4 linked regions of the Schizosaccharomyces pombe genome follow. The protein of the gene in region 1 binds, or shares a complex with, the protein of each later gene. Each region holds a gene or a part of one and is shown on either strand. Other genes may lie near its edges. A codon is read from its position in the direction of its gene.

Region 1 (3,309 bases):
ACTGTTTACTGGAATAATATTTTGAGCGTTTTTATCTTACATAAATCATGACCCAGCCCTTCTATTAAAACGTGAGAGTAAACAATGCCACTTTGATATGATACGTTCTAGTTCTTTTCCCATAATAAACAGTCAAAAGAAGGTTTTAAAAAAAAATAAAGAAATCGTAAGCTCATGCAATGTCTTTTGCCTTATAAAGAAGGATGTAGGCACTGTCAGCTTCACCACCACCATCGAGAGTTTCAATTTTTTCAGCAGGAACGATAGATACCTTTGCGTCATTGAACCTGAACCATTCAGCACGATTATTGCTATTTCTTATCCAAGCTTGGTAATGGCCTGAAGATGCACTAGCACCGGCGTGTGATAAAACCCCGACTAAATCATAAAGGCCGGTGGGGTTGGCTCCTTCATCATCAGCGAGCTCAGGATCTACTAGTGATTGACACGTCGCAACCTGAGTAAGCCTGCACTCAGCTTCCGCCTCCTTCTCGTCCTCTGAAGGTTGAATTTTGATACGCTTAGCAGCTCGCTCATGTTCTTCATCATTTTTTTCAATTTCACGTAATTTGTCACGTACGGGAATCAATTTTTGTGAAAGTTCAGGAGTACAAAACTCGACTGCATCGAGCTCAAATGGAAACTTAACCTTACGAAGAATTTTAGCCTTTTTCCCTATTGATGCTTTCCAGTAAAATCGAACAAAATTAACAGTTAAATAATTGGGTAGTCGAGAAATCCTTGAGATTTTGCTATACATGGCATCACGATTTAATACATCACTATGCTTAGAAATTTTTTGCGTAAGCCCTTCAAGGATCCCCTGGGTCATATAGCTTGTATGCATAGAGATATGGCAAGGTAAACTCAAAAACGTATCATGTGAAATAGAGGGTTGCTCCTGTACTTCGTTTTCATCACATTTCATAGTAGATAAAAGTTTTCCAGCCATATTTTTTTGTACCCACTCAGATGATAGGGAGCGCTGTAAAACTGATAGCAAGAATGACCAGCATTCCTCAGCATCCTGTTGAGCATAACCCCCAGTTTCTCTACTCATTTCTGCAAACTGTGGATACTCCATGCGTAGACTTTGAAGAAACCTCATTGGTGTAACCGGAGCATTAGATTGCATAGAATTTAATAACGTCCGATATTCTGCCACCAAACCCCCAGAGGAATTGAATTGTGAGACAGCGTCTGATAATTCTGGAATGGCACGCAGCATTTGAACTGTAGAATTCATGTAACACGTGTTGCCTAAGTTTATAAGCCCTGACGGATAGCCATCATCTTCAGATTCCTCTTGTTCTACTGACTCGACAGCTGGAATGGGCATAGCTGTTGGTAGTTCGCCTGCAGTACCCATCATTAATAAAGTTGCATTTGGTTTAATACCAACTGAACCAAGCAAAACATCGTCTTTAAGCTGGCCACCTTTGACAATCACTTTCTGTCGTTCCGGAGGAACTTGTGTCAACGAGTATAGTTGATGTTTCAAGGTGCTTCCTGTTTCATTAGGTTCAATCTCTAAGTCGTACTTCTTCCCTTGCCAACGAATTGCTATGGGAATCATCATAAATGGTTTTTGTAATTAATGAAAGAAATACTTGTTTAAGCCCAATATAATTTTTTTTGTAATTCTTTGCAAATTATACTTATTATATATGTTGCTGGTACTTGGTGAAGGCCATACAGTAACGAGCTATATACTCATTTTCGGTAACACCACGCAGCGTGCGTGGTTGTGCCGCTAAACTCGTTAAGCAATATCACACTGACACTACGTGTTAGCACAAAACCAAACCCGGAGACTGACTCCATAGATTCTAATTATGGTAAGAGAGGAATTCTTTTGTTATAAAAAGATATGATTTATTAACGAAGGCATAGTCTAATACCTTAAGACCTTATTTAAACGCAGTTCGTTCTACTCTGACTGCTTCTTTAGCATTAGAGGAATTCTCATCAGAAATTGTAGAACGCCAGAGTCAGCCGGAAGTTGAGGTTGGACGGTCTCCTGAAATTCTACTAAAGCCCCTGGTGGTCTCTCGTAATGAGCAAGAACAGTGTTTGATTGAGAGCTCTGTTAATAGGTATGTCTTAGGCATCCGATGTTTCCGATTCGAACTGGTACATTCACTGATCTTTCGATTTGGAATAACGGAGTTTTGAAAGTCATTCTCATTATTTGGATTTTTTTTACTGATGCATTTATGAAATTAGTGTTCGTTTCAGCATTCGTATTAAACAAGTCGATGAAATTGAACGAATTCTTGTGCGCAAATTTATGCAGTTTTTAATGGGTCGTGCAGAATCTTTCTTTATTTTGCGCCGCAAACCTGTTCAGGTACGTTATTACAAATTGTAATTGGCAAAAAAGTGTTCAAGGGAAGAATTTCTAGAGATTTTGCGTTAGTTTAAGTGTTCACTGTTCTGCCTCAGCCATTGTATAGTTCTTCTTTTTTTTCTTTTTCGAAGTTGCCATTGCTATTTGTAAATATCATCAAACTAACCTTTCTTTGTTATAGGGCTATGATATTTCCTTTCTTATAACTAATTACCATACTGAGGAAATGCTTAAGCACAAATTAGTTGATTTCATTATTGAGTTTATGGAGGAAGTTGACGCTGAAATTAGTGAGATGAAACTTTTCTTGAACGGAAGAGCTCGTCTTGTTGCTGAAACTTATCTGAGTTGTTTTTAGATTCATGTTTACGTTTTGGACCCTATCGATGATTTTATCAATTTATACATAAATAAATGAGCACCAAATACTTCTTCCGAATAAAATTCCTATCTCTTCTATTCTGTATTGAGTACAATAAACATATCAAGGCAGTTTTACATTCGATAATCCTTCATATCTACAATCTCGCCTTTTGACTTTTAGCATCCTTACAAGATATAACGAAAGTATACGATATGTTGTTACTTATATTAGGGAGCTGTTTCGTAGTTTATTTGATCATTTGACGACTGTAAACAAACTACAATCAACAACATTTTTGCTTTTTAATGATTCTGCCAGAATAAGTAGTTTCTATATAATTTTATGCACTTGCGCTAGTTGGTGGATAATTTTAATAAATACATGCATCCGCAGTTACGTTATGTCTGAACGAGATTTTAATACGCAATCTCCCAAATTTAAAGATGAAAACGCGAATTCTGTGATCAGCCAATCTGATTTTTTGGGGAAATCACTCAAAAATAATAACGATGATTATTCTGATTTCCGTGGTTCGTACCTTAATGATAAATCATCTTTCCAGACGCCTTTGCGCAACGGCTCTTATCAACCAAAA
Region 2 (7,534 bases), 910 kb from region 1:
GTTTAATACTATTGGTGTTAGTGATGGTATTTCTATGGGTACTACTGGTATGCGTTATAGTTTGCAATCTCGTGAGATTATTGCAGACTCCATTGAGACCGTCATGCAAGGTCAATGGTATGATGCCAACGTCTCTATTCCTGGCTGTGACAAAAACATGCCTGGTTGTTTAATCGCTATGGGAAGATTCAACCGCCCTAGTATTATGGTTTACGGCGGTAGTATTCGTGCTGGTCACTCTCCTTGTCAGAACAATGCACCCATCGATATTGTTTCTGCTTTTCAATCCTATGGTGAATTTATCACAGGAAAAATTGATGAGCCAACCCGTCATGACATTATTCGTCATGCATGTCCTGGAGGTGGTGCTTGTGGTGGTATGTATACTGCAAATACAATGGCTAGCTGTGCCGAAGCTATGGGTATGACATTACCCGGTTCTTCTTCTTACCTTGCTGGCTCACCTGAGAAGTTTGCAGAATGCGAAGCTGCAGGTAGTGCTATAAAGCGACTTTTGGTTGACGACATTAAACCTCGCGACATCATGACACGTTCTGCTTTTGAAAATGCTATGGTCTTGACGATGACTCTTGGTGGCTCTACCAACTCTGTTCTTCATTTGATCGCAATTGCTAAGTCTGTTGGTATCACTTTAACTTTGGATGATTTCCAAGCCGTCAGTAACCGTACACCGTTTATTGCCGATATGAAGCCTAGCGGGAAGTACGTTATGGAAGATTTGTTCGCTATCGGAGGTATTCCTTCAGTACTTAAATATCTCCATGCTGAAGGTCTCATCGATGGTTCTAATATTACCGTTACTGGTAAAACTCTCGCTGAGAACCTACGAGGATTCAAGGACCTTGCCGAAGGTCAAAAGATCATTAGACCTTTGAGCAACCCCATCAAGACCGAGGGTCATTTACGTGTCCTCCGTGGTTCTTTAGCCCCTGAAGGTTCTGTCGCAAAGATTACTGGCAAAGAGGGCTTGAACTTCACCGGCAAAGCTCGTGTTTTTGATGCCGAAAACGATTTTATTGCTGCCTTAGAGCGTGGTGAGTTCAAGAAGGGCGAGAAGACTGTCGTCATTATTCGTTTTGAGGGACCAAAAGGTGGACCTGGTATGCCGGAAATGTTAAAGCCTTCAAGTGCTATTATGGGAGCTGGTCTTGGAAAGGATGTTGCACTTTTGACTGACGGTCGTTTCAGTGGTGGCTCTCACGGATTTTTGATTGGACACGTTGATCCCGAAGCACAAGTTGGAGGCCCTATTGCTCTTGTTCAGGACGGCGATGTCATTGAAATCAATGCTGTAAAGAACACTTTAGATTTGATGGTTGATGAGAAGGAGATGGCGAGACGCCGCAGTGTTTGGAAGGCACCTCCTTTGAAGTACCAACAAGGAACCCTTTTAAAATATGCTCGCAACGTTAGCACTGCCTCCAAGGGTGCTGTTACAGATTCCTTAGAGTAAAGCATATTCAATGCTTTTATAAGCGCGCATAGTATTTTGGAAACTTAGACGTTTAATGTTTTGGTAGTAAAGGTTGATTAATAAGCTTTTAATGCTGATTCCATAATCTCATCTAGAGTTTATTTGAATAATTTTGAATGAATAATTACTTTTTGGAGTACAGTGAAATGCATCGAGTTTAAAATGGGTTGTTATTCAAACTCCTGCATTTCTATTTTATTATTAAACATAATTGGTATCTGTAAATGTGAAAGGGAGCCATAACTTTCTGCTGACAATAAAGCAAGACTTTGACAGTTAGTTAGATAGAAATTTATTTACAGAAAAAATTTAAATTGATACTTTTTTATTCTATGTGCGTTGTGAAACGGTATCAATGCGTTGTTTAAACAACTGTAGTAGAAGTTTTGAATCCAAAGAATGACGAGGCTGGTTAAAGAAGCTTTCATAGACAGGGGTTACCGATTTATTATTTTGTAAAAAGCATTTAAGAAAGAATTCTTGAATAATAGGGCGTGCGAGATCGACGGACTCAGTACCATCGTAAGTTACATGAAAAAGTATACCCTTCCAAACGGACTTTTGTAAAACGTTGGCAATAGCCACTTTAAAGCTCCCTACTTCATATATTGAACCTTCAATAGTAAAGGACTGCCGAAAATTCCATAATTTCGTTCGCACAATGATGTCCTCAAGTTCAGGTTCTGCATCAATCATTGTCGCTTCATCCACACACGCCAGCATGCTGGGATTAATGTTTTGCTTCAAAAATTCTAAAGTTTTTGGAGTGACAGCATTTCTGTAAAGTTTATACTGAACTACCCATTTTTCTGAAATTCAAAGTTAGATCTTGAAATCATCAATCATAAGAAATAAAATCCAAACCAGTGTCAGCTTACTTAAATGTTGTGCAAAGTAGGTCCTAACCAGATTATCCTGTGCTGGAGAAAGGAACGTCGCCATTGAAGGCGATGAATAATAAATAACTCTATAATCAATCAGCAAAATAGTCAATCGGTATGCTTTTTACCCGTGAACAGGCATATTTTATAACAAAGATGAATGGTAATTAATTATGCATCTGAATATCGGTTTATACCGAATTATTGAGAAAAATGGCCGAATTAGTTCTTTTACTTCTACTGTAATGTTGATGTGAAGAGTTTAATGCGTACGGCGGTTGCAAGAATTGCTAACAGGCTAATTTAAAACCTTCATTTTCATTGTTCCTGTATTAAAAAAAAAAAGCAGATAGACATAATATGAGCTCAAATTTTATTAATTTATCTCTTGTCATTTTTATTATTTTCCAAGTCGCAAAGTATATGGCTTTTGGGTATGATAATCCCAGAGCAAATTGTTAAAAGCTTGAAGAGAATTAAGTTAACTGAATTACATTCATAATTAACTTCTGGAGAGTCAAATACTACGTAACAATGTAACTGGCTGGTTTGAGCACTAATTAAAAATCTGTTAATCCCAGGATGTTACATATGTGTCTCTTCGTTTTACTTTGAACTTTACACAAGAAACTACATAGTTCTGTCAGCAAAATAAGTCTTAAAAGTTATTGTTCGAATAGAAGTATAAACTCATACATCAATATACATACTGAAAATAGATAGAAGCAAAAAAAAAATTACTTTTAATCTTTATTCAACTAATTACTAGGCTGTATCTAACATATTTTCTTCTGAATCACCATAGGCAGAAATGTAAAATATGTAACCAATTTCTGTCTACAAGTTATTCAGAACTTTACATCTAAGACCAAAGGTAGAGATGATTATTTACAAATAAAAAAAAATAAACATCCACAAAAGAGGTCTATGGAGTACTGAAGAAGTTAGTAATGCTGTTACCAGACTTATATAGCTCCGCTCAAAAATTATAAGTTAAAGTTATAAGATTAAAAAAATATAAATATATTTTTTTGAATTTTCTTAACTTATTGGTTAAATTAATATACTCTATGAATTATAATAACTTCAGTTACAGACTTGCGTTCGACCGTTGTATGATGCCTCTTTAGAGCTACACACAGCTGAAACTTAACCTGTTCCATCGTTTTCTTTACCTTACCAGTTATAGAGTTATAAAATGACGTTTCGGACTTTGGATGTCGACTCCATCACAGAACCTGTTTTAACAGAGCAAGATATATTTCCAATTCGTAACGAAACGGCGGAGCAAGTCCAAGCAGCCGTCTCTCAACTCATTCCTCAAGCCCGGTCTGCCATTCAAACGTATGTTTATTTAAAAGAAGCAATTTTTTTATTAATTAAAATAGAGGAAATGCCTTACAAGGTTTGAAAACCTTACTCTCATATGTTCCTTATGGAAATGATGTTCAAGAAGTTAGGGTATGTGCAAACTGTACAAACTGCTTAAAGACGGTTTATATCAATTACGTTTTTATTTATTGATTAAATTTACAATTCTTCTTGATTTCATTTTATTATGGTGTAAATGAATTTTAACTTTTTTAGACTCAATATTTGAATGCTTTTGTTGATGTATTAAGCAATATACGAGCTGCTGACATTCCCGCATTTGTAAAAGAATGTTCAACGGAGGAAATTGATAATATTGTAAACTTCATTTATCGTGGATTGGCGAATCCTCAAGCCTACAACTCGTCTGTATTACTTAATTGGCACGAAAAGGTAACTTTTAGTTTATTGCTTTTCCCAACGCTCTAGCATTGCTTATCTCATGCTTTACATTTTTATTCGGTCACTAATACGGTTTTGTAGGTGGTGGAAATATCCGGTATAGGATGTATAGTTCGTGTTCTCAATAGTAGACCCGATCTATAAATATGGCTTTATCTTACTTTTTGGTATCTACTATTCTGTCGCTTATGGAACTGAATCAATGATTCTGTTTTATGTCTTCTTTCCCACATAATGACTCTTTTTATCCTTTAAATTGAGCTAGAATTTTCTAAATGGTTAGTAAGTATGTTCCATTTTAAAAAATAAAGTGCAATCGATTTACGCCTTTGCTGAAAAGATAATAAATCTAGTTTATTCAATATTAGCTTACTCTTTGAATACTTCGAACATGTTCTGGCTGTACTCTTCTTTCCCCAGTCTTAGCCGCTTCAATATTGGCTTCTTTTAGTAAGGATTGTAAGAAAAGACAGTAATCCAAATATACCTTGAAAATTCTGTTAGTTGAAAACATTCAATATAAAAAATTTGAATATCTTTATTAGAATAGCGCGTCCAAAAAGATACTGACTGAGAAATAGCTAGTTTCATTTATAACTTTCCATACCAAATCCAATGCGGAACTTTCAAGGCTGCGCTGGCAATGCTGACGAAAAAATCGTCTTATGCGTGCTTTAGGATAGCTCATAGTAAGTAGTTTCTTGCAAAAAAAAATATTAATCCCGTTTAGTTTTGTAAAATTAGAGAGTAATCATATCTTGCAAGGATAGCTCTGTATAGAAAGTGATAATCGTTGTGTCGTCTTCGAAGAAGGTAAAGTGCGAGTCCTTTTGAGTCATTAGTTCGAAGGATTCTACAAAGGTGCTATTGCAAATCAATTTTTTATAAATTTAATGTCATATTATTAATTGAAATTTTCTTAGTAAAAGTAATTATTACGTACAAAGATTAAAGCACTGACATTGCAAATTATGTGTCTTTGTTGTCAAAACAAGTTGGAATATTATATCAATTAGCAGCAATCTTAAGCATGAAAGCTTTTAAATACTTTGAGTTCATTTGTAAGCATGTATTTACTCGCTACTACTTTAAGAAAAGAAAAACTTTTTACTAGTATTTAAAAATTTGGTTGCTGGTTTGTTTTGCTTGCTCTGATTACACACGTATATCTGAATCTGTTATTTTATTCTTATTTAAACTGTGATTGTATGCATATTATGAACCTCTAAATTGCCTTCATTTGGAATATTGAGCAAAATACTTGGCAAGTATGGCGACTAAAAGAAAACCAAATTAATATTTACCGAGTTTCTTTGCTATATTTCCTGGAAGTTAGTCGCTTGTGATTCCGAATTATTGCTTTCCGCGACCTACATAAAATTCTGCTTTTAAACGAGTCCTTCACCACTACCTTGTTATAAAGAATACTAAGATCCGCTGTTAGGCACTAGAAGATTTTTACTTTAACTTCTCAAATTCGACAAATTAGAAAAAAAATTTTTTTAAAAACTTGACAGACAGTCTCAATAGAGGTAGTAATATACGTTTTCGTTACTACCTTACTTACCAGCTCCTTCAAGCGATTCATTTCCGAAACAATCATTTACACGCCAACTTACTATTGACTTTAATATCGAATTATCTTGTTAATTCTGCTTCTTATAATGGGTGATCCAACAAATAATAATGATAGTGAAACTAAACCAAATCCTGCTACGTACTGGAAAAGCAGATTTCCTGTTGCTCGTATAAAAAAGATTATGCAAGCAGACCAGGACGTTGGAAAGGTCGCTCAAGTTACTCCGGTTATTATGTCGAAAGCGTTGGAATTGTTCATGCAGAGTATAATTCAAGAATCGTGCAAACAGACGCGATTGCACCAAGCAAAGCGTGTTACCGTTTCTCATTTAAAGCATGCTGTTCAAAGTGTTGAACAGTTTGATTTTCTTCAAGACATTGTTGAAAAAGTACCGGATGCTCCGCCCATTAAAGCCGAAAGAAAGACAAAACGCCCCCGTGCTCGTCGAGCAGCTAATGAAGGTGAGCATAATGAAAGTGTTCCCGCTAAAAAAGTTAAAAAGAATACTGTTAAAGAAGAGGAAATTGAAAAAGATGACGAATCAGCTACCACAGAAACTCCTGTCAAAGAAGAACCTACTGGTGAGGAAACTGAAGCAGATCACGAGGAGAAAGCCTCTGTTGATCATGGTAATTTTTCTGACAAGACAACTAGTGAAGCCTCTTCCGCGTCTGGTGATGAGTAGCTACTTTCTCCACCCTATATGACCATAAATATAATGTCTTTGTATACTTTATTCTTGTTTTGCTATTACATTTATTCTTATCTTCCCTTTTTTCTTGAATTTGTTTTCAGAAAATATTCTCAAGCTACTTGTACATAGGACTATAAAATTGGCACATTAATTCTAGTATTTTTAAGCCTTTTCTTCGACTTAAGAATATAATACGTTCTGGTTGTTCATATTGAGCTTTTTTAAAGTGCCTTATTAATGTACTATGAAAGACCAACTTGGCGTCTACTGATTTTATTTGCCAAAATGATGCTATTGACAATTCTACGAACCTATCACTTACTCGTACACCCTTTTGTTTATAATTAAGCATTTATTTATACATACTTTGTTGTTAGTATTTAAATTCAAATAATGATATTTTTATAGTCTAAGATTTTATAAAACTATATGCAATGCAAAAGTATAAACGTACTTCTTTGAGTAAAAAAGAAAGTATTTGGTTTTGTATTTCCAATGGATGATATAAGAGGGCATGATGAATGCTTGAAGTGCTTTCAAAATTGAAAATGAAGGGAGAACTTGATCGTTGTAAAAAATAAACATAAAACACTAGTCGATAATGTCATAAATATACTACAAATAATTGAGCCTGTCTATAACTCCAATAAACGTCTCCCAAAATAATGAAACATCAGCTTCCAAAACAACATGAACATTAGCCGGATACTGATTTTGTTGCGACCATACATCACAGACAGTGCGACCAAGAGTGAGAGAATCTAAGCTTACAGTCACATACATAGAACGCGAGGTCCACAGAGATGGCCACAGCGCCAAAGCAACAGCACAAACGTCATGAACGGGAACACCGTTTCGAATTCCGTAGACATTTTCATAAGTTTGTTGAAAGACAGTCATCAATTCTACCAGTGTGGAACTAAATGGGTTGCTATGTTGACGCAGTAACTGAATAATGTTTGCATCTAAAAGTACTTTATGAGTGACATCTAGCGGCACCATAAATAGTTTGCCGATAAGTGATTTAGTCTCTAAAACGAGCCTAGCTGCCTCAGGATCAGCATACACGTTGAATTCTGCTTGAGAAGTAATATTTCCAATGCCTGTGCTAC
Region 3 (8,203 bases), on another chromosome or scaffold:
TTATTTCGTTGCTGATCGTGGTATGATCTGTATTCTGTTTATCCGCTACCTTCAAAATCGGGTCCTTTTAACTTTGGTCACAATCATATGAAACCTTGACTAACGGTTATTAGATTATAATGTCAACCCCCTTCAACCGTGTGCAAAGACCCAAACGCCATGTCTTCAATTGCTTAGTACAGAATGAGCCTGGTGTTTTATCCCGTCTTTCTGGTATTTTGGCCGCTCGTGGATTTAACATTGATTCCTTGGTTGTTTGCGCAACTGAGGTAGAGAATCTTTCTAGGATGACGATTGTTCTTCGAGGGTATGTAAAGTAATTGATCCAATTATAATTGTCACTGACCTTTTTTACTTTCCTTCTAATTTTTATTAACATTTTTTTAGAGCTGATGAAGTCGTTGAGCAGGCAAAACGTCAGATTGAAGATATCGTATCTGTTTGGGCAGTCTTGGATTACACCGGTACCAGCATGGTCGAGCGTGAGCTTCTTCTTGCAAAAGTTTCGCTTTTGGGCCCTGATCACTTCCAAGAGCATTTTGAGAGAAGTGAGAAAGTTGCCGAGTCTACCAATGCTAAAGCTAAAAGTGATGGTGAGGGTGTCATGAATGCGAATGCTGCTTTACAACTTCGTGCCAGTCAATTGGCTGCTATCAATCAACTTACTACTCTCTTTCATGGTCGTGTAGCTGATATTTCTACGGAGACTATTATTCTTGAGTTGACTGCTACTCCTGATCGTGTTGATAACTTTCTTTCTTTGTTGCGTCCCTATGGTGTCTTGGAAGCATGCCGTACTGGTACATCTGCGATGACTCGCGCACCCCATTCTAACGAAGTTACTGAAGAAGCTGAGGACGATGTTGAAGTTGAAGAGGTTTTCCTTCCTCCTGGATAAACCAAAAAAAAATCGCATTCTTCGCTTCTACTTTGATGCTTTAAGCATTTTTTCCCATTGTACAAATATATTCACTTTGTGTTTTGTACATCCAAAGAGCGGTTGTACTTTTTGCGTAAAAATTTTAGTTATTTTTTTGAGATTTTTGTATAGGAATCTACGAATATACATCGAAATTTATTTGGTTAGATGAAATTTGTTGCTATGTTGTCTTTATTTAAACAGCTGTAGGTAACATATAAACGATAACATTGTTTTGCATTACTTTTTATTATTAAAAAAGACTATGATTTCATCCTTTTTATAAAAGTCATTAGCTTGTTGAATAGCTTGATTTCAGTGTAATTACACTGTTGGCATGGATGGTATTTTAAGGTGTTAAGATAGCTGGCTAACTTAACACCGTTGGATTTCGTAAATATTTTAGACAGAGCCTTTGATTGCCTCTCTTCTGTAGATGGCATTTAATAAGGATGAATAACTCCATGTCAAATCTCTTGCACCTTTTTGGTGACCATCGTCACGCGAAAATTGTTCAGACATTGAACCATTTGGATGTTGGAACTCAGCAACAGCTTTTAAAAAGTTATCAGCATATGTGTGCATGTTTTTCCTGATAACGGACCAGTTGTATGGATCTCCAAACTCAGCAAATTTCATAAAGAAATGGATGTTATATTCAGTCAATTCTGGTAAACCTTTATTATCGTAGTATGCGATTGCTTTGTAGATAATCTCGGCAGCGCTGCTTGTGCAAATGAACCAAGGGTTACCAATAGACTTAGAGACACCATCGTATACATCCTCGGGATAGCGTCCCATTGCTTGCTTCCATCCCTGATTGACGGGATAATCTCTGGTCATGGTTTCTTGCAACTTCAACAAGGTTGGAAGGATGTGCATATCAAACTCATTTGAGTAAAGGCTTGCAAGCAAAGTGGAGCAATCAAGTCCTGAGCGATCGACTCTGCCTTTATAACCCTTAATAACACCCATTCCAGGATCCCAGAACTCTCCCAGTTTTAGATCAATAGGCTCGATCGTGCGTTGGTAGAGTGCGGCTTGGTCAGGTGCTCCAATTCTCTTTGCAAAAGCTGTACCATCTTGCATGGCACGCTTCTGAACGGCTAGAGTAAAGTAATGAACGTCCTTAATTTCTTCCCAAAGATCAAAGCTTGCCTCTGTCCAGTGATTTGCAGTATAATCCAAGTCGGCTAATACAGCCTCAATCCAGACAGTAACTTCATGGACCTCTTTACCATTTTCAAATAAATAATTCATGTATTTGATAAATGCAATAGCCCGAAGAGCAGGGGAATCATTCTGGGGACGTCCCCAATCTCCGTCATAGCTTGTCCCATCAACATTAAATTTAGGCTCACCAAGACCTCCGGCGTAAAAGTCTCCACTTGGGTTCGGGACCTTTTGGAGCCTGACCATTTCATCCATATATTTGACGATAATCGGCTCAAGTCCTTTGTCCCCTTCAAAGAAACGATCTAAAATAGTCATGATCGTCAATGCACTATCACGAACCCATTGATAATAGTAATCAGGGGAATCAGTTGAAGGGGAAGCAATAATACATCCAGGATTAATATCCTTAGCATGCATACCGCTGTCACCGATATTGTTCAGCATATGTCCCATAGCAATACCCTTTTGCTGATCCGTCCATTCATCCATAGAAGCTTCCTTGCTTCTTTTATTAGGGGAAAGTAAGCTTTCTGCAGATACGACCCCCCCAAGGAGTAAGAATAACCAGTATGTACGCATGTTGGAATTTAAAAGTATTGTAAAATTGGGTAGACTATACAAATATTGATGGCAATCGTGTTTAATTATATAGGCAAACGAATAAAAATATGCGCTTTAGTTAAAATTTAACTGGAATATTTGCTCTATATATGTCTTTTGCTTTGTTTATTAGTAAACAAAAACAGAGGGAATTACCATCAAAATCGATCATCATGCTGCGACACGAATGGACAAAACTAGACTATATAAGTTAGTAAATAAACAGAGTAAATGAATGTGATTGATCCTTTTTGGCTTATACTGAAAATTTGGCGAAGCAAGGATTACCAAAGAAAATGTATTTATTGTTTGTTTATTTTCAACACTTGCTTATAAAGTTTGATTCTATAGTATTCAGATCTATGATAATATGGAAGTGTGCATTCACCAATTACTTAAATAGCGACAAAATTTGTTGAATTGGAAAAAATCGACAGCACAGCTTTTAATATCAAATACGCTACTGAGTCTGAGTATAAGCAACAAGTGTGATCTTTTTAAATAATCATCGTTAAAAAGCACAAAATATAACTGTGATAATGGACAAGATGTCGCTGTCAAATTCTGAAGCAACGTTTCAGTTACTCCAGCAATCATTAAAACACATCTCTTTGTTGTAAAGGAGAATTATTGTATTATGCTCTTCGCCCTATTATTTATTCATTAATAAGAAAAATACTCAGAGAGCATCGTTCACTCACGATTGTCAAGACATTAAGATCTATTGTTCTTCCACAATCAACGCAAATAGAAATCTTGTATCCACCTCATATTTTAAAAATAAAAAATCTCTAAAAGATATGCAAGAAAATCAAATTTTATTTAATGGAATTTTTTTTAGTCTTAATTGAGTTGTAATATTTACAAACCTTTAAAATGTAAACAAAGGAGTTACCGATACCATCGATATGCGTTATCGTATATAAAGTACTCTAACGTTTTTTGTTAATGTATCTACTGCTCTCGTCATCACCAATATCGATTCAGCCTTGGATATCGTCTATCATCCGCAAAACAGTAGACTGCTAGTCCTGTTACTGAAAAATGGCTACCTCTCAAGTTTTACACATTCTTCCTAAACCCTCTTACGAACACGCGTTCAATAGTCAAAGAACAGGTACAGTATAGGACCTAAATAAGTAGATTTTAACAAATTTGATATAGAGTTTGTCACCACAACTGCTACGAACCAAGTTGAACTTTACGAGCAAGATGGAAATGGGTGGAAGCATGCCCGAACATTTAGCGATCACGATAAGATTGTAACTTGTGTCGATTGGGCTCCGAAATCCAATCGAATCGTAACTTGCTCTCAAGACCGTAATGCCTATGTTTATGAGAAACGTCCTGATGGGACTTGGAAGCAGACCCTCGTCTTACTTCGTTTGAATCGTGCCGCTACGTTTGTTCGTTGGTCGCCTAACGAGGACAAGTTTGCTGTTGGTAGTGGTGCTCGTGTCATTTCTGTTTGCTACTTTGAACAAGAAAATGACTGGTGGGTCAGCAAACATCTGAAACGTCCGCTTCGTAGTACCATTTTGTCTTTGGACTGGCATCCTAATAACGTTTTATTAGCTGCCGGCTGTGCAGACCGTAAGGCATACGTTTTATCTGCTTATGTTCGTGATGTCGATGCCAAACCAGAAGCCAGCGTTTGGGGTTCACGTTTACCTTTCAACACTGTTTGCGCTGAATACCCATCTGGTGGTTGGGTTCACGCCGTTGGATTTTCACCTTCGGGTAATGCCTTAGCGTATGCTGGCCATGATTCTTCTGTTACGATTGCATATCCCAGTGCTCCCGAGCAACCCCCACGAGCTCTAATTACTGTCAAATTATCTCAATTGCCTTTGCGTTCTCTTCTTTGGGCGAATGAGAGTGCCATTGTGGCTGCTGGCTATAACTATTCTCCTATTCTTTTGCAAGGCAATGAGTCCGGTTGGGCCCATACTCGCGATTTGGATGCCGGAACTTCCAAGACCTCATTCACTCACACAGGAAATACTGGTGAAGGTAGAGAGGAAGAGGGTCCTGTTTCATTTACTGCTCTTCGTAGCACATTCCGTAACATGGATTTGAAGGGCTCCAGCCAGTCTATTTCGTCTTTACCAACCGTTCATCAAAATATGATTGCAACCCTTCGACCTTACGCTGGGACTCCTGGCAATATTACTGCGTTTACCTCCAGCGGTACCGACGGACGTGTTGTTTTGTGGACTCTTTAGAAAAGATATCGGCAAATGAATCTTATCAAATCAATTATCGAATTTCCGTAGATGTTAATCTCATAGAATAAAAGAATTGAACAAGCTTTAGCTAGATATAGTAACTGTTATTCCGCAGCTTATATGATTACTATGTCGTCTTATAAATTTTTGTCAATCATATTCAGTTTTGTGTATATATTTTTTCTTAGAGACCCCAAAATTGAGAAGTGCTTTTGCTACGTAAGTTTACTTATACCACCACTTGAGACTGAACCACGGGTATGCGTTCTTACGAATAATCATTAGATATAACTTAGATTAAAGTGTTTATTAATTGTATAGTTAGTAAAATTAGTAAAGATCAACCTGAAAAGTTTAAACACCAAGTTGGATAAATAATATTGTTCAAATTTATGTAATCCAAACAACGAAATTGAAAGGATGTTCTAATTTGATCCTTTCGGCAAAATTTGAAAACCGTAACGCGTGAAATAAAAATATAATGAATAGAAAAAAAGAATGAGAAAGAAATGATAGTACTATCTTCTGTCAAAAAATCGTTTTAAGGTACCAATGTCTCCAACAGCTGTAATGACATCCATTTCTGGAACAAGCAAACTAATGATTCGGTCCTGAGGCTTTCCGTTACGCTGCTTCGTGCGCAAACGAATGATTGCAAGAGTTTCTAAAGAATTCGCGACATCGCAAAATTCCGAACTTGTTAATGGATAAATCAAACGATCTCGAAGACACAAAGAACTGTATTTTTCAAATACATCGGCAACACTCAATGAGGTTTTTTCACAAACAACAAGCGTACAAAGGATGGCTTTCTGTTGAAGACCAAGGTTTTTTAAACGAGCACTAGCAGATTGGCTCATAGCAGATGTCGCTCGGACAACATGAGCAATTGATGCTCTTGGTATATCAACAGAAGATAATGTGTTGTCATGTTGAGCTTTCCATTCTCTTTCCGCAAGTTCAATTGCATGCCTACATATGTCTAATGCTTTTCTCAAGTCACCACTTGAAGCTGCAACTTTCCGGGCACATAATTCAATTGCAGCAGGATGTATAAAAGGTGTTTCATCAGCATGCTGAGATACAACATTTATACTATCATCGCTTACTTCAGAGATTGATTTAATAGGAGTAAAAGGATTGTTTTTTTCTGATGTGGTAGCGGCGGTTTTCAAACGCGCTTTTATAATTGTTGAGATTTCTTGAGCAGTATAAGGCGTAAAAGAGAGTAATTTGGGAGTAATATGCTTTGTTCGTAAACGAGGGAGAAATCGATCTGTCATGTCTAAGGCATTTGCAATGCCTACCAAAATTAATCTCGAAGTCGGTCGAGAGGGCCATTCAAAAAGCGTGTACAGAACCTGCTGTTCGCGAGCAATCAAGTGATCCATTTCATCTAAAACAATAATGACTGGGTTATATAATTCATTGGCGGACTGGGTGAAATGCGACTCTAGTTCACATTGGAAATTGATGTGATGATCTTCATTTTCTAAAATTTCCTCTTTAACAATTTTAGAGTGAATTTTTTCAAAAATTGCTTTTGGTTCATTAATAGTCATACAATTAATGTAACAAACATTAACTTTGGGATAATCGCTCACTACATGATCCAGCACGTTGTGAAGCAGAACGGTCTTTCCTGTGCCAGGGGCACCACTTACGTACAATGCACCTCCAGCATTAGCATCAAGATGTTGACGAAAGAAAGATTCCACAATTGACTTCTCATTTTCACGACCCACGACTCCTGCTGAACGATATGATTTACGTAAACTCAATTTGGCAGTAGAATTATAGGACGGAGTGGAGGGTGTCGAAGGAGTGGGAGGAAAAAGTTGACGGTGAGGTGTCGATTGCAAAAGGCGAGTAGCAAATGGAACAGGATTACATGTACGATTTAATGATTTGGGTGTAACAATTTGAATGGTCCTTTTGGGGGTTTTAGGAGTTTGAGGTGTTGTGGGTAATTTAGGTTTCTTATTCTCCTTTAACTGAGCAGGAAAATTAGGATAAAGGTCAGTTTTCTCCTCTTGCAGTTCTCCTAGTTCATATTTTATTCTTTTTGTGGGTGTTTGGAAATGTGAGCTAGCCAGCGTACGTTTTCTGCTGGGTGTAGTCGGAATCTCTATTGAAAAGGAAGGTGAATGCTCCCTTTGATTAGTTTTGTTAGTACAGTCAATCAAGGCTGCAGAATCTATAAAACGATTGCATCTTCGAGGTGTATGACAACCTATTGGAGTTTCACACATATCGATACTTTATAGTAACCCCGTTTACTAATTATGTTATTTACCAATAGACAAGTCAGGTAAATTTGATAAAAGGGCTACTAAGTAATATTAACTTCGTGCTTGGTGTTTAAGTTTTGTTTAAGAGCAGATATGTCTTTTATAAATATACGCGACGCGACACGTAAACGCGAAATCTAATTAATCACGAAGAGTAAATGAGATGTCGCGTTCAACTCTACGTGTCGTGTCGCGTTCTACGCGCGAACCTTTTTACTCTATAAGTTTATATTCAGGTAATGATATTATTTTATAACGACTCATCCTCAAAGATATGAAATGCCTTCTCATATTCCAATTTAGTTACGACGTTAGTAAAATTAAAGTAAAAGACCCTAAATTCTTTTAATAAATTAGAAAATCTTTTTTCAATTATCCCTAAAGATAACAGAGGTCCCACGAACGAATTTTTGATGGACCATACCATCTTTGGTGCTAATGGCCAATAAAGCAAACAGCATTTCGATTAAAGAAAAGTAAACCTCTTACAATGTTCACTAAAATTGAATTTCATAGCAAAGTTTCCTCTAGTTTAGAATGCAAGTGAACACTTTAAGCTAGTTTAACAAAAGGAAGATGAGAATTTTGGTAATTATCCAAAAGAATAAACTAAACATAAACCCCAAATTACATGCCCAATCCCTTTTTTGTTCCTTTGTGTAAAACACCGTGCATATATTGTTGTTCTAGTTCTTTCTCTCTCTGCTTGTCATTTGTTTTATTAGATTGAGCAGACGGAGACGATTCAGTGATGGATGCAGCATTTTTTATACCCAACATTTTTAAAAATTTTGATTTTCGTTGATTTCCACCAGACAAACTCGCTGCAAGCCAGTAGTCAGTGTTTCCCTTATCCTGACTCCTACTTAACGAGTTTTTCATTTGATCATGATCATTTTCAGCTACGTTTTTTACTTTTCAGTGTTAACGAGCATTTACTGTTAATGCTTAATATACATACCCATAGGATCCTCCGCTAGAGTTTTGGT
Region 4 (8,698 bases), 1.5 Mb from region 1:
AAAGAATAATAAAAAAAAATATATATATATATAATTCAGTTGAATGTACTAGTCATTGTTTACGAAATTTTATCGAACCTAAATTTATTATTATTATTATGTGTAAACAATTTTCAAATTTATGTAACCGTTTAATGAAATTGATATAATCAGTTGTTAAAATTAATGAACAACAATAAACAAAATTTAAATAAATTAAATTATACAAAACTTTTAGTAGGCAATATAATGCTAGATTTATTATCTTTAAAATAATAATAAAAATGAATTTTTTACAAAAAGCAGAGAAAACCTATTAAAAAAATATTCCTATAAAATAATCTATTAAAAAAAGTTTCAATATTTATTTGAAATAAAAAAAAAATCCTAAGGTTGCAACAAGCAAAAAAATCTAGAGCCTAAATTACCCAATAAATACAATAATGACCGAATCGAAATAAAAGATTAATACACAGACACCTGGCTAATAATTTCACCGCCTAAAATTTTGTTGACCCAATTTGGTATCCATGGTCGCCTGTGTTAACAAGCAAAAAACAAACTGTTACATGATGGCACAACATGTTTTTAGACGAGGAAAACAATTCGTAGCAATTTCTTCAACAATTTTTTCAGGCTCAACTTGATCAGTCAAAGTTGAATGTTGAGGACGAGAATATGCTTCTTGAGGTTCTTGAATGCAATTGAAATTTGGTTGAATAGGTGAAGTCGCAGATGGTAAATAAACATAAATGCGGCCTTCATTTACTTCACTGTTGTATTTTATAGATTGCTGCTCAAGCATTCGCACAATTGCAGGTCGTAGTTTTTCCACATGATTAGCACTGTGATTACCGCGCCCAACTATACTAAAAAAGAGTTAATTTTAATTAAGCGTAAAACATACATATGTAAATGATTGTCACCACGTCGGATGCAATTCTCAATTCGCTGTTGTACTGCTTGTACAGCTTCATCGATGTACAGACCATGTAAATCAATTTCATCGGGATTGCATTGAGAGTTTTTATATAAATAAATGGCTGAAGCCGCTATCAATAATTAGCACAGTCATAAAACACTTCTATTTTGTTTTCTCGAAGCCAATATGGGTTTGAAGAAACCCAGTGTTTTAAGTTCTATAAAGAAGCCAACCCATTTTTCTCTTAAATCACATGGCTTTATTCAGCTGTTTCAGAGCTCTTCACTTTGTACAAAGAATAGTTCATTGTCATAACTACTATTGTTTGGCGTATTGTCTGACCGATAACTACCGGAATTAGATACCAAACAAAAAGAGTGGAAAAGAAAGAAAGAAAAATCTCATGATGGGTTTGTTTTTCTATTATTGAAAGTTTATAGGGTTTGAACTAACAATCACAGCTTTTAATGAGAATTTGAGATTACCTTGTCGATTATAATTTTCCATACGCTCTCCACATAACTTTCCTTCTTGGCTTAGTTCATGCGCTTTAGCCTTGTTTCCTGCTGAATAGGCATGCTGAGCTTCTTGAAATAAATACCCTCGTTTTTCAGCCTCTTTTGACGCCAACGCTCTAAACTTTTCATACTTCAATAAAGTTAGTTACACCTAATTTCTCCTTATCTCTTTGATTAATAATTACCTCCTCCATTTCTATTGTTTCAGGTGTGGTACTAGACAATGAAGTTAACAATAGGAAATCTGAACAATGGAGTACCACAAAAAATGTTATATAATTCAGCTAGATCTCTGACAAAGATGAAAAATAATTTTTAAGAACTGTCTAAACAATAGTAAATCCTTTTGTTTTTTGTTTCGAATCTGTTTAAACTACAATTTTGCAATTGTTCGAACAGCATTCCATTGGTGTGTTTTGAGTCCATATATTTGGAAATTTGCTGTATATCTTCAAGCGAAAATTTAACTTTTGAGACATAGAAGTGTTTTCTGGAAATTCTAAACAAAGAGGAATTATTGGCATAACAGTTCATTGGGAAACTGAGTCATCAAGTGCTTTACAAATCACATTTTTAAACTTCTTAAACTAAAAAAATCTCGGGTTTATATTGTTCTTGCTCCCTCTGACATTATGAGACAACCATGGTGGAAAGACTTTACTATTCCCGATGCATCCGCAATTATTCACCAAAATATTACCATTGTCTCTATTGTAGGAGAGATTGAAGTGCCAGTTTCAACAATTGATGCATATGAAAGAGATAGACTTTTAACTGGAATGACTTTGTCTGCCCAACTTGCTTTAGGAGTCCTTACCATTTTGATGGTTTGTCTATTGTCATCATCCGAAAAACGAAAACACCCAGTTTTTGTTTTTAATTCGGCAAGTATTGTTGCAATGTGTCTTCGGGCCATTTTGAATATAGTGACCATATGCAGCAATAGCTACAGTATCCTGGTTAATTACGGGTTTATCTTAAACATGGTTCATATGTATGTCCATGTGTTTAATATTTTAATTTTGTTGCTTGCACCGGTCATCATTTTTACTGCTGAGATGAGCATGATGATTCAAGTTCGTATAATTTGTGCACATGATAGAAAGACACAAAGGATAATGACTGTTATTAGTGCCTGCTTAACTGTTTTGGTTCTCGCATTTTGGATTACTAACATGTGTCAACAGATTCAGTATCTGTTATGGTTAACTCCACTTAGCAGCAAGACCATTGTTGGATACTCTTGGCCCTACTTTATTGCTAAAATACTTTTTGCTTTTAGCATTATTTTTCACAGTGGTGTTTTTTCATACAAACTCTTTCGTGCCATATTAATACGGAAAAAAATTGGGCAATTTCCATTTGGTCCGATGCAGTGTATTTTAGTTATTAGCTGCCAATGTCTTATTGTTCCAGCTACCTTTACTATAATAGATAGTTTTATCCATACGTATGATGGCTTTAGCTCTATGACTCAATGTCTGCTAATCATTTCTCTTCCTCTTTCGAGTTTATGGGCGTCTAGTACAGCTCTGAAATTGCAAAGCATGAAAACTTCATCTGCGCAAGGAGAAACCACCGAGGTTTCGATTAGAGTTGATAGAACGTTTGATATCAAACATACTCCCAGTGACGATTATTCGATTTCTGATGAATCTGAAACTAAAAAGTGGACGTAACTTACGCCTGAATGTATCTTTTTTGATAATTCCTAATACTGGCTCAATAACAGTCCCAAATAACATAGACGGTTTTTTTACGATAGGCTTGTAATCATAATTTGCTCAGAGGGAAGTTTTCTAATGGTTTTTTTTTTTTCGCTTCATGAACAATTGTTTACTATAAACATCAATGAAATTATATGATTATAATAACTTATTATCATGAAAACTTCAAGTCGTACTTCACAAACACTTATTAAAACAATAGTGAATGAACTGCCTTCGTAATCTATAATGAACTATAATGTTTTGAGTCTCCAAGTGCTTACCTTACGAACTTTTTTTTTTATTTAAAGCTTCTTGTACCGTAGAAGCCATATCATTCATCGAAGAAGCTAATTCCTTTCTAAGCATCGTTTGCTTTTGTACTTTGGCCGATTGCATTAGCAGTTCTTCCAGACGTGATTTAAACGTTTCCACTATATACACGTAAGTATTGAGCTATTAAATAAAAATTATAACCAACCTGCTGACAATAAAATGTATTTATCCTCCATTTATTTTTATCAAATATTGTATCGAAATGTTTTAGCTGCGAAACGTTACACTCCTTAATTTAGTAATAGCAATATAATAAGGATCTTTAAACCGATATGTGTTATTCTCAAATTGCATTGCTCCACTTATTTCAGTAAACAGATGACAAATATTCAATAATGGTATATGTCGATAATTATAATTCTTTTGTTTAAGTCTTGTATTCAATTTAATGCACACATCTAGTTACTAGAGAAATAAATTCTTTATTAAATCGGTTCCGCGATTCTTCATTTTTGCACAGCGCTCCTAGTCATACCAATCTCATAATAAACGATCGAAGTGTTACCTGCACATTAAACAAACAAATAGAGTCCGTGTTTTTCTTTTAAATAATAGTAATACTATGTGAAACGAAGAATCTTTTAACTAATAAGCGATAATATACATTACTGCCGAACAATTATAAATGCACAGTTATGGCTTTGAGTATAAGGGGTAACGATACTAATGCTAAGTACAATAGAAGATAAGATCATTAACCGTAAAAACCTTTGAGCTATTCTTTTTGCAGCCAATTGTTAAATTAATTTAGATACTTCATTTCTGTTTTATAATTCTCAAGATTACTGCACTTCGCTTTCCTACGATATTACATATTTACGATATATCACCGAATGCTCTGCTACAGTTGCAGTGCTGCTGTGTCATACGGTATATGGCAGATAGTTACCGCCGGTACATTACATAGGGGTGGACTTAAGAACTAACCTTTCACCAACTACACGAGACGTTTATAAAATGGAGTCTGCTCCCATTGTTCTAGATAATGGAACTGGTTTTGTGAAGGTAATCAGTTTAATTAAATCTTTGTTTACACTGTGACTAACGTTAGCAAGGTCGGATATGCTAAAGACAATTTTCCGCGCTTTCAATTCCCATCCATCGTAGGAAGGCCCATTTTACGTGCTGAAGAGAAAACAGGAAATGTTCAAATTAAAGATGTTATGGTCGGTGATGAAGCTGAGGCGGTGAGATCTTTACTTCAAGTAAAATATCCCATGGAAAATGGCATTATCCGTGATTTTGAAGAGATGAATCAACTTTGGGATTACACTTTCTTTGAAAAACTAAAAATTGATCCGAGGGGTAGGAAAATTTTGTTGACCGAGCCCCCTATGAATCCTGTTGCTAACCGCGAAAAAATGTGTGAGACAATGTTTGAACGGTATGGTTTTGGTGGTGTTTATGTCGCCATTCAGGCCGTTCTCTCTTTATACGCACAGGGATTAAGCAGTGGTGTAGTTGTTGATTCTGGTGACGGTGTAACCCATATTGTGCCTGTCTATGAAAGTGTTGTTTTAAATCATTTAGTTGGTCGCCTTGACGTTGCCGGTAGGGATGCTACCCGCTATTTGATTAGCTTACTTCTTCGTAAGGGTTATGCTTTCAATCGTACAGCAGACTTTGAAACTGTTCGCGAGATGAAAGAAAAACTTTGTTACGTTAGTTATGATTTGGAATTGGACCATAAGCTTAGCGAAGAAACTACCGTTTTAATGCGTAATTACACCCTTCCTGATGGAAGAGTTATTAAAGTTGGTTCTGAGCGTTATGAATGTCCAGAATGTCTATTTCAACCTCATCTGGTTGGTAGTGAACAACCAGGTTTGAGTGAATTTATTTTTGACACTATCCAAGCAGCTGATGTGGACATTCGCAAGTATTTGTATCGCGCCATTGTTCTCTCAGGTGGTAGCAGTATGTATGCCGGTCTTCCTTCACGTCTTGAAAAGGAAATAAAACAGTTATGGTTTGAGCGTGTTCTTCATGGAGATCCCGCACGTTTGCCTAACTTTAAGGTTAAGATTGAAGACGCTCCTCGTCGCCGTCATGCCGTGTTTATCGGCGGCGCCGTATTGGCAGATATCATGGCTCAAAACGATCACATGTGGGTGTCCAAGGCAGAATGGGAGGAGTATGGAGTACGTGCACTAGACAAATTGGGTCCTAGAACTACTTAGAGTATATTTATGTTTAATGTTCTGTTTCTTTCTTTTTATGTGCTAGTAAATTGAGTTATACGAAGTTTGATTCATAAATTTCAAACTTTGCTAAATGATTACGTTTTCTGTTTAATCCGACCATCGTTAAAAGACGGTACGATTCCTTCTTTTATTTGCCTTTTTGATTCCTTTTTCTTTTGATGGGCTATTTACTTATGCTTGATGTTTATACAACCTTTTTGTAACCAACGATCTTATTTACTCAATATGCACTAGTACACTTCAATAGCAACAGACTTAATGACTAGACTCCCGTGACGTATATATTTGGTTTCGCCCATTTAGGGCGTTTTCTTATTAGGTCCTAGTTTTAACAAAAATAGCTTGACATTCTGAGCTTCTAGTTTTCTGAAGATTGACATCCACGGAAAACATGAGTAACATTTAAAAGCAGGAATTTCTATTATTGTAAATAAATAAATTACCGACCTAATTTTTTTGTTAAATTGTATATATAAACCATTAATAATGTGTCCAAGACAGCCTAGAAAAATTAATGCTCTTAATTAAGCACGACAGCATAAGAGGAGTAGAAATTGCCGCACAAATCGACTGAAATTTCTCATAACGGTGTAAGAGGAATTCATTAGGAAACAAAACGACGGAACATTGAAACAACCTTAAATAAATAAGAACAAATATAAAAGTGTAGTTTACGAAGACAAAATGCCTCGTGAAACCGACAGATGAAAAACAACGTGAAACCGAAAATATGTGAATAAAAAATGAACAACATAGAACAACAGTAATGAAAATGAAAATATAAAAACAAAGAACAAAAGCAAAGAATAAAAAAGGAGAAACGACTGGAGTAAATAAGAGAAGAATCCAGAAGAAGTAATTTAAAGTTGCTTCCATTGTTCAATTATTCGAAGAGCTGTTTGAAGTTCCTCAGCTACAGCAACAACATTTTTCCGCTGGAACGCCTGCATCCACTGTCGTTCATAATAAGCATCTTCCACGTCATCGTTTTCGAGTAAATAAACATGCTTCAAGTTAAGATAAACGCCAAGTAAATGTATCTGATAAATATCAGTTACAAAATATGGGTACTTCACAACTTGGGACACCACGTAGTCAAATAAAAGTTTGGCTTGATCGTCGATAGTAGAGGAATCGGGAAAAGATGGAGGCTGCCAAAAGTGCAATGTATATTTAAGTTTATAATTATCATAAAATGAAACAGGCAAATTGTGATCTTTGGATAGAAATATCAGTATATCAGCTGAAGTTTTTTTATGCTGCTTAATATCTGCTAATTCAAATAGCAAAGAAGAAGACGCATCAGGGGCAAAGGCGACAACTGCACCACTTAACTCAAGATATCGTGAATCCGATAATACCCGAGTGGAGACAAGGTACTTATCCGGAATTGGTCGAATCTTTTTGAGTGCAAGTTGACATTCATCGTCGGCATATTCAGCATAATTGATGGGGAAAGAACGAACTTTGAACTTTTTAGCCTCGTCAAAAGGAACAACAGAGTCCATGACATGATTAAACAGATGAAATGTGAACCTTGCAGGAGTGGCAGCATTCAAAACTGCAAAGTACAAAGGATTAAATAAGTCGCTGCCATTATTAAAAGTTGGAAGAGAATCGTGAGCATTATTAGAAAGGGGAAAACATATATCAGAAAGGACATTAATATTACGTTCTTTCAAGTACCAGTTTTGGCCCATTAAAGTAAGAAAATTATCAGAGGCGGCAAAGCATGGGCGGTTGATCAAAACAACATTGCGAATACCTCCTAACTGAGCATCCATGGTGTAATAAAAATTACGTTTTAAAGCTGACAAATGACGATGATAAATAGGATATTCGGTTTTCAGCTTTTTCATAGTAGTGTTCGAATAGAAGATTAAAGGACGAAGTAGAAGAATGAGGCTTCCAAATAAGAATAGTCGAAGACACCATCCGCCGATACCATTACCAGCAAAAATCCGTAATGGAAGGCCCATATCAATTGGATGTGAGCATAAACAGAATAAGAAAAATCAAATATGAATTAAAAGAAAGAAAAGAAGAAAAAACCAAGTATTCTTGAACCGATACTCACTATTCTATTTTAACAAGTGTGATAACAGTTTTGGAACCAGTGTGAAAACTAAATAAAGAGGAAAAAATTTTTTTAAAACCCTTCAATACAAATAATCGACACACAAACGGAAACGAGGATAAGAAAATGAGTCAAAGGGGGAAACCATATAAAAGTGTAAAGATGATACCAATGACTTCTCTGGGCAGGAAGAAGAAGGAACGAATGAAAGTAGCAAATGTCTAACCAAAACAAAAATTAAACGAGAGAAATTAGAAAGTTAGAAGATTTCCTTTTATTTGTATTATGAGCCGTGGGAGTAAAAAAAGCAACGGCAAATGAAGAAAAAAAAAATTAAATTAAGAAGATGATTAACGAAAAAAGACGAATTTTCAGTAGAGAAAATATATAAGAAATACCTTACTTTGTTGAGTTTTAATCGGACTTCGGTCTCACGAAATCACGACAGGCTAGGAAGAAAATTTGAAGAGTGGGGCTCAGAGCATTTATACTTGGAAGATGCGAAATGAGTAGTTAAAAAAAGACTTGACCAAATTTTATAGTTCCCTTGACCGTTAAATCTTTTCCCAATATTCTATACAATATATGGGAGGGTTGATGTACAGAGGATGAGTTTGAATTCACTGGTATGACCAAAGTATGCGGCAATCAAGGACTAAGGCTGGAAAGAGAAGTAACGCACAATCTAACCTTAAAGTAACGAAAAACAAGGATGCAAAGGAGCTTAATGAGTGGTAACGAGACTTTTTCAATCTGATATTTAAAGATTTAGGAAGCAAATGCAAAGAGAAAGAAGAAAGGAGGTGCAGATTAAACAGTGAAAGTGAGAAGGTACGAACAAAAAGAAAAAGAAATTTGAACGCGTGCGTACACAAGAGAAAGAAAGAATGAAGCGAAAAAAATAGAAAGAGAGACACGCAAAGACGGAAAAAGGGAGAGAGAGAAAAATAAAGGAC

What was found.
Region 2: the proteins of arc4 (region 1) and arc5 are in contact, whole or in part, in a crystal structure (PDB 3DWL), measured with the Schizosaccharomyces pombe proteins. Residues at the interface, in NP_594116.1 of Schizosaccharomyces pombe: Thr4 (codon at 1,900), Pro7 (codon at 1,909), Tyr8 (codon at 1,912), Asn10 (codon at 1,918), Ala11 (codon at 1,921), Ser14 (codon at 1,930), Thr15 (codon at 1,933), Ala18 (codon at 1,942), Ser19 (codon at 1,945), Leu48 (codon at 2,032), Lys49 (codon at 2,035), Leu51 (codon at 2,041), Val52 (codon at 2,044), Val53 (codon at 2,047), Ser54 (codon at 2,050), Arg55 (codon at 2,053), Gln60 (codon at 2,068), Ser65 (codon at 2,083); in NP_593727.1 of Schizosaccharomyces pombe: Asn109 (codon at 4,069), Tyr112 (codon at 4,078), Leu115 (codon at 4,087), Ala116 (codon at 4,090), Ser124 (codon at 4,114), Leu127 (codon at 4,123), His130 (codon at 4,132), Glu131 (codon at 4,135), Val134 (codon at 4,234), Ile139 (codon at 4,249), Ile142 (codon at 4,258), Val143 (codon at 4,261), Val145 (codon at 4,267), Leu146 (codon at 4,270), Asn147 (codon at 4,273), Ser148 (codon at 4,276).
Region 3: the proteins of arc4 (region 1) and arc1 are in contact, whole or in part, in a crystal structure (PDB 3DWL), measured with the Schizosaccharomyces pombe proteins. Residues at the interface, in NP_594116.1 of Schizosaccharomyces pombe: Ala21 (codon at 1,951), Leu22 (codon at 1,954), Glu23 (codon at 1,957), Glu24 (codon at 1,960), Phe25 (codon at 1,963), Ser26 (codon at 1,966), Ser27 (codon at 1,969), Glu28 (codon at 1,972), Ile29 (codon at 1,975), Val30 (codon at 1,978), Glu31 (codon at 1,981), Arg32 (codon at 1,984), Gln33 (codon at 1,987), Ser34 (codon at 1,990), Glu45 (codon at 2,023), Ile46 (codon at 2,026), Leu48 (codon at 2,032), Ser66 (codon at 2,086), Val67 (codon at 2,089), Tyr121 (codon at 2,562), Thr123 (codon at 2,568), Glu124 (codon at 2,571), Met126 (codon at 2,577), Leu127 (codon at 2,580), Lys128 (codon at 2,583), His129 (codon at 2,586); in NP_595909.1 of Schizosaccharomyces pombe: Pro13 (codon at 3,776), Ile57 (codon at 3,955), Gln75 (codon at 4,009), Arg77 (codon at 4,015), Arg101 (codon at 4,087), Ala102 (codon at 4,090), Gly120 (codon at 4,144), Ser147 (codon at 4,225), Thr148 (codon at 4,228), Leu150 (codon at 4,234), Ala166 (codon at 4,282), Trp207 (codon at 4,405), His225 (codon at 4,459), Tyr270 (codon at 4,594), Asn271 (codon at 4,597), Tyr272 (codon at 4,600), Ser338 (codon at 4,798), Leu339 (codon at 4,801), Gln344 (codon at 4,816), Asn345 (codon at 4,819), Thr368 (codon at 4,888), Asp369 (codon at 4,891).
Region 4: the proteins of arc4 (region 1) and arp2 are in contact, whole or in part, in a cryo-EM structure (PDB 6W18), measured with the Schizosaccharomyces pombe proteins. Residues at the interface, in NP_594116.1 of Schizosaccharomyces pombe: Glu31 (codon at 1,981), Arg32 (codon at 1,984), Gln33 (codon at 1,987), Pro36 (codon at 1,996), Glu39 (codon at 2,005), Val40 (codon at 2,008), Gly41 (codon at 2,011), Ala98 (codon at 2,312), Glu99 (codon at 2,315), Phe102 (codon at 2,324), Ile103 (codon at 2,327), Leu104 (codon at 2,330), Arg105 (codon at 2,333), Arg106 (codon at 2,336), Lys107 (codon at 2,339), Leu117 (codon at 2,550), Thr119 (codon at 2,556); in NP_001342919.1 of Schizosaccharomyces pombe: Tyr218 (codon at 5,120), Leu225 (codon at 5,141), Leu229 (codon at 5,153), Ser230 (codon at 5,156), Glu231 (codon at 5,159), Glu232 (codon at 5,162), Thr233 (codon at 5,165), Thr234 (codon at 5,168), Val235 (codon at 5,171), Met237 (codon at 5,177), Ala307 (codon at 5,387), Gly308 (codon at 5,390), Pro310 (codon at 5,396), Ser311 (codon at 5,399).

What each region holds. Positions count from the first base shown.
Region 1 is NC_003424.3:3,257,971-3,261,279, reverse strand, and holds arc4 (ARP2/3 actin-organizing complex subunit Arc4), read left to right. Parts: upstream 1-1,795; 5' UTR 1,796-1,835; coding exon 1,836-1,838; intron 1,839-1,892; exon of another isoform or gene 1,893-1,893; coding exon 1,894-2,096; exon of another isoform or gene 2,097-2,226; coding exon 2,227-2,350; exon of another isoform or gene 2,351-2,531; coding exon 2,532-2,708; 3' UTR 2,709-2,809; downstream 2,810-3,309. Other genes in the region: ubiquitin hydrolase Ubp6, read right to left, coding at 173-1,579; gamma tubulin complex linker, pericentrin/kendrin Pcp1, read left to right, coding at 3,115-3,309.
Region 2 is NC_003424.3:2,345,311-2,352,844, reverse strand, and holds arc5 (ARP2/3 actin-organizing complex subunit Arc5), read left to right. Parts: upstream 1-3,520; 5' UTR 3,521-3,574; coding exon 3,575-3,720; exon of another isoform or gene 3,721-3,764; coding exon 3,765-3,837; exon of another isoform or gene 3,838-3,877; intron 3,878-3,963; coding exon 3,964-4,140; intron 4,141-4,230; coding exon 4,231-4,293; 3' UTR 4,294-4,393; coding exon of another isoform or gene 4,394-4,420; 3' UTR 4,421-4,522; downstream 4,523-7,534. Other genes in the region: ilv3 (dihydroxy-acid dehydratase), read left to right, coding at 1-1,474; mediator complex subunit Med20, read right to left, coding at 1,826-2,304, 2,374-2,462, 2,505-2,518; CENP-W family protein Wip1, read right to left, coding at 4,394-4,420, 4,523-4,636, 4,757-4,837; negative cofactor 2 complex subunit Bur6, read left to right, coding at 5,814-6,413; urh2 (uridine ribohydrolase), read right to left, coding at 7,038-7,534.
Region 3 is NC_003423.3:2,210,699-2,218,901, forward strand, and holds arc1 (ARP2/3 actin-organizing complex WD repeat subunit Sop2), read left to right. Parts: upstream 1-3,699; 5' UTR 3,700-3,739; coding exon 3,740-3,812; exon of another isoform or gene 3,813-3,859; coding exon 3,860-4,920; 3' UTR 4,921-5,119; downstream 5,120-8,203. Other genes in the region: acetolactate synthase regulatory subunit Ilv6, read left to right, coding at 114-307, 388-898; meu17 (glucan-alpha-1,4-glucosidase), read right to left, coding at 1,322-2,674; cdc18 (MCM loader), read right to left, coding at 5,442-7,175; protein tam10, read right to left, coding at 7,842-8,128, 8,176-8,203. UniProt on the Schizosaccharomyces pombe protein: Functions as a component of the Arp2/3 complex which is involved in regulation of actin polymerization and together with an activating nucleation-promoting factor (NPF) mediates the formation of branched actin networks.
Region 4 is NC_003424.3:4,778,637-4,787,334, forward strand, and holds arp2 (ARP2/3 actin-organizing complex actin-related protein subunit Arp2), read left to right. Parts: upstream 1-4,385; 5' UTR 4,386-4,418; coding exon 4,419-4,466; intron 4,467-4,490; exon of another isoform or gene 4,491-4,516; coding exon 4,517-5,641; 3' UTR 5,642-6,129; downstream 6,130-8,698. Other genes in the region: SPOM_SPAC11H11.03C (uncharacterized protein), read right to left, coding at 545-848, 887-1,031, 1,387-1,549, 1,605-1,613; pheromone p-factor receptor Mam2, read left to right, coding at 2,052-3,098; protein Fta6, read right to left, coding at 3,411-3,559, 3,607-3,637; Golgi 4,6-pyruvylated galactose (PvGal) residue biosynthesis protein Pvg5, read right to left, coding at 6,526-7,644.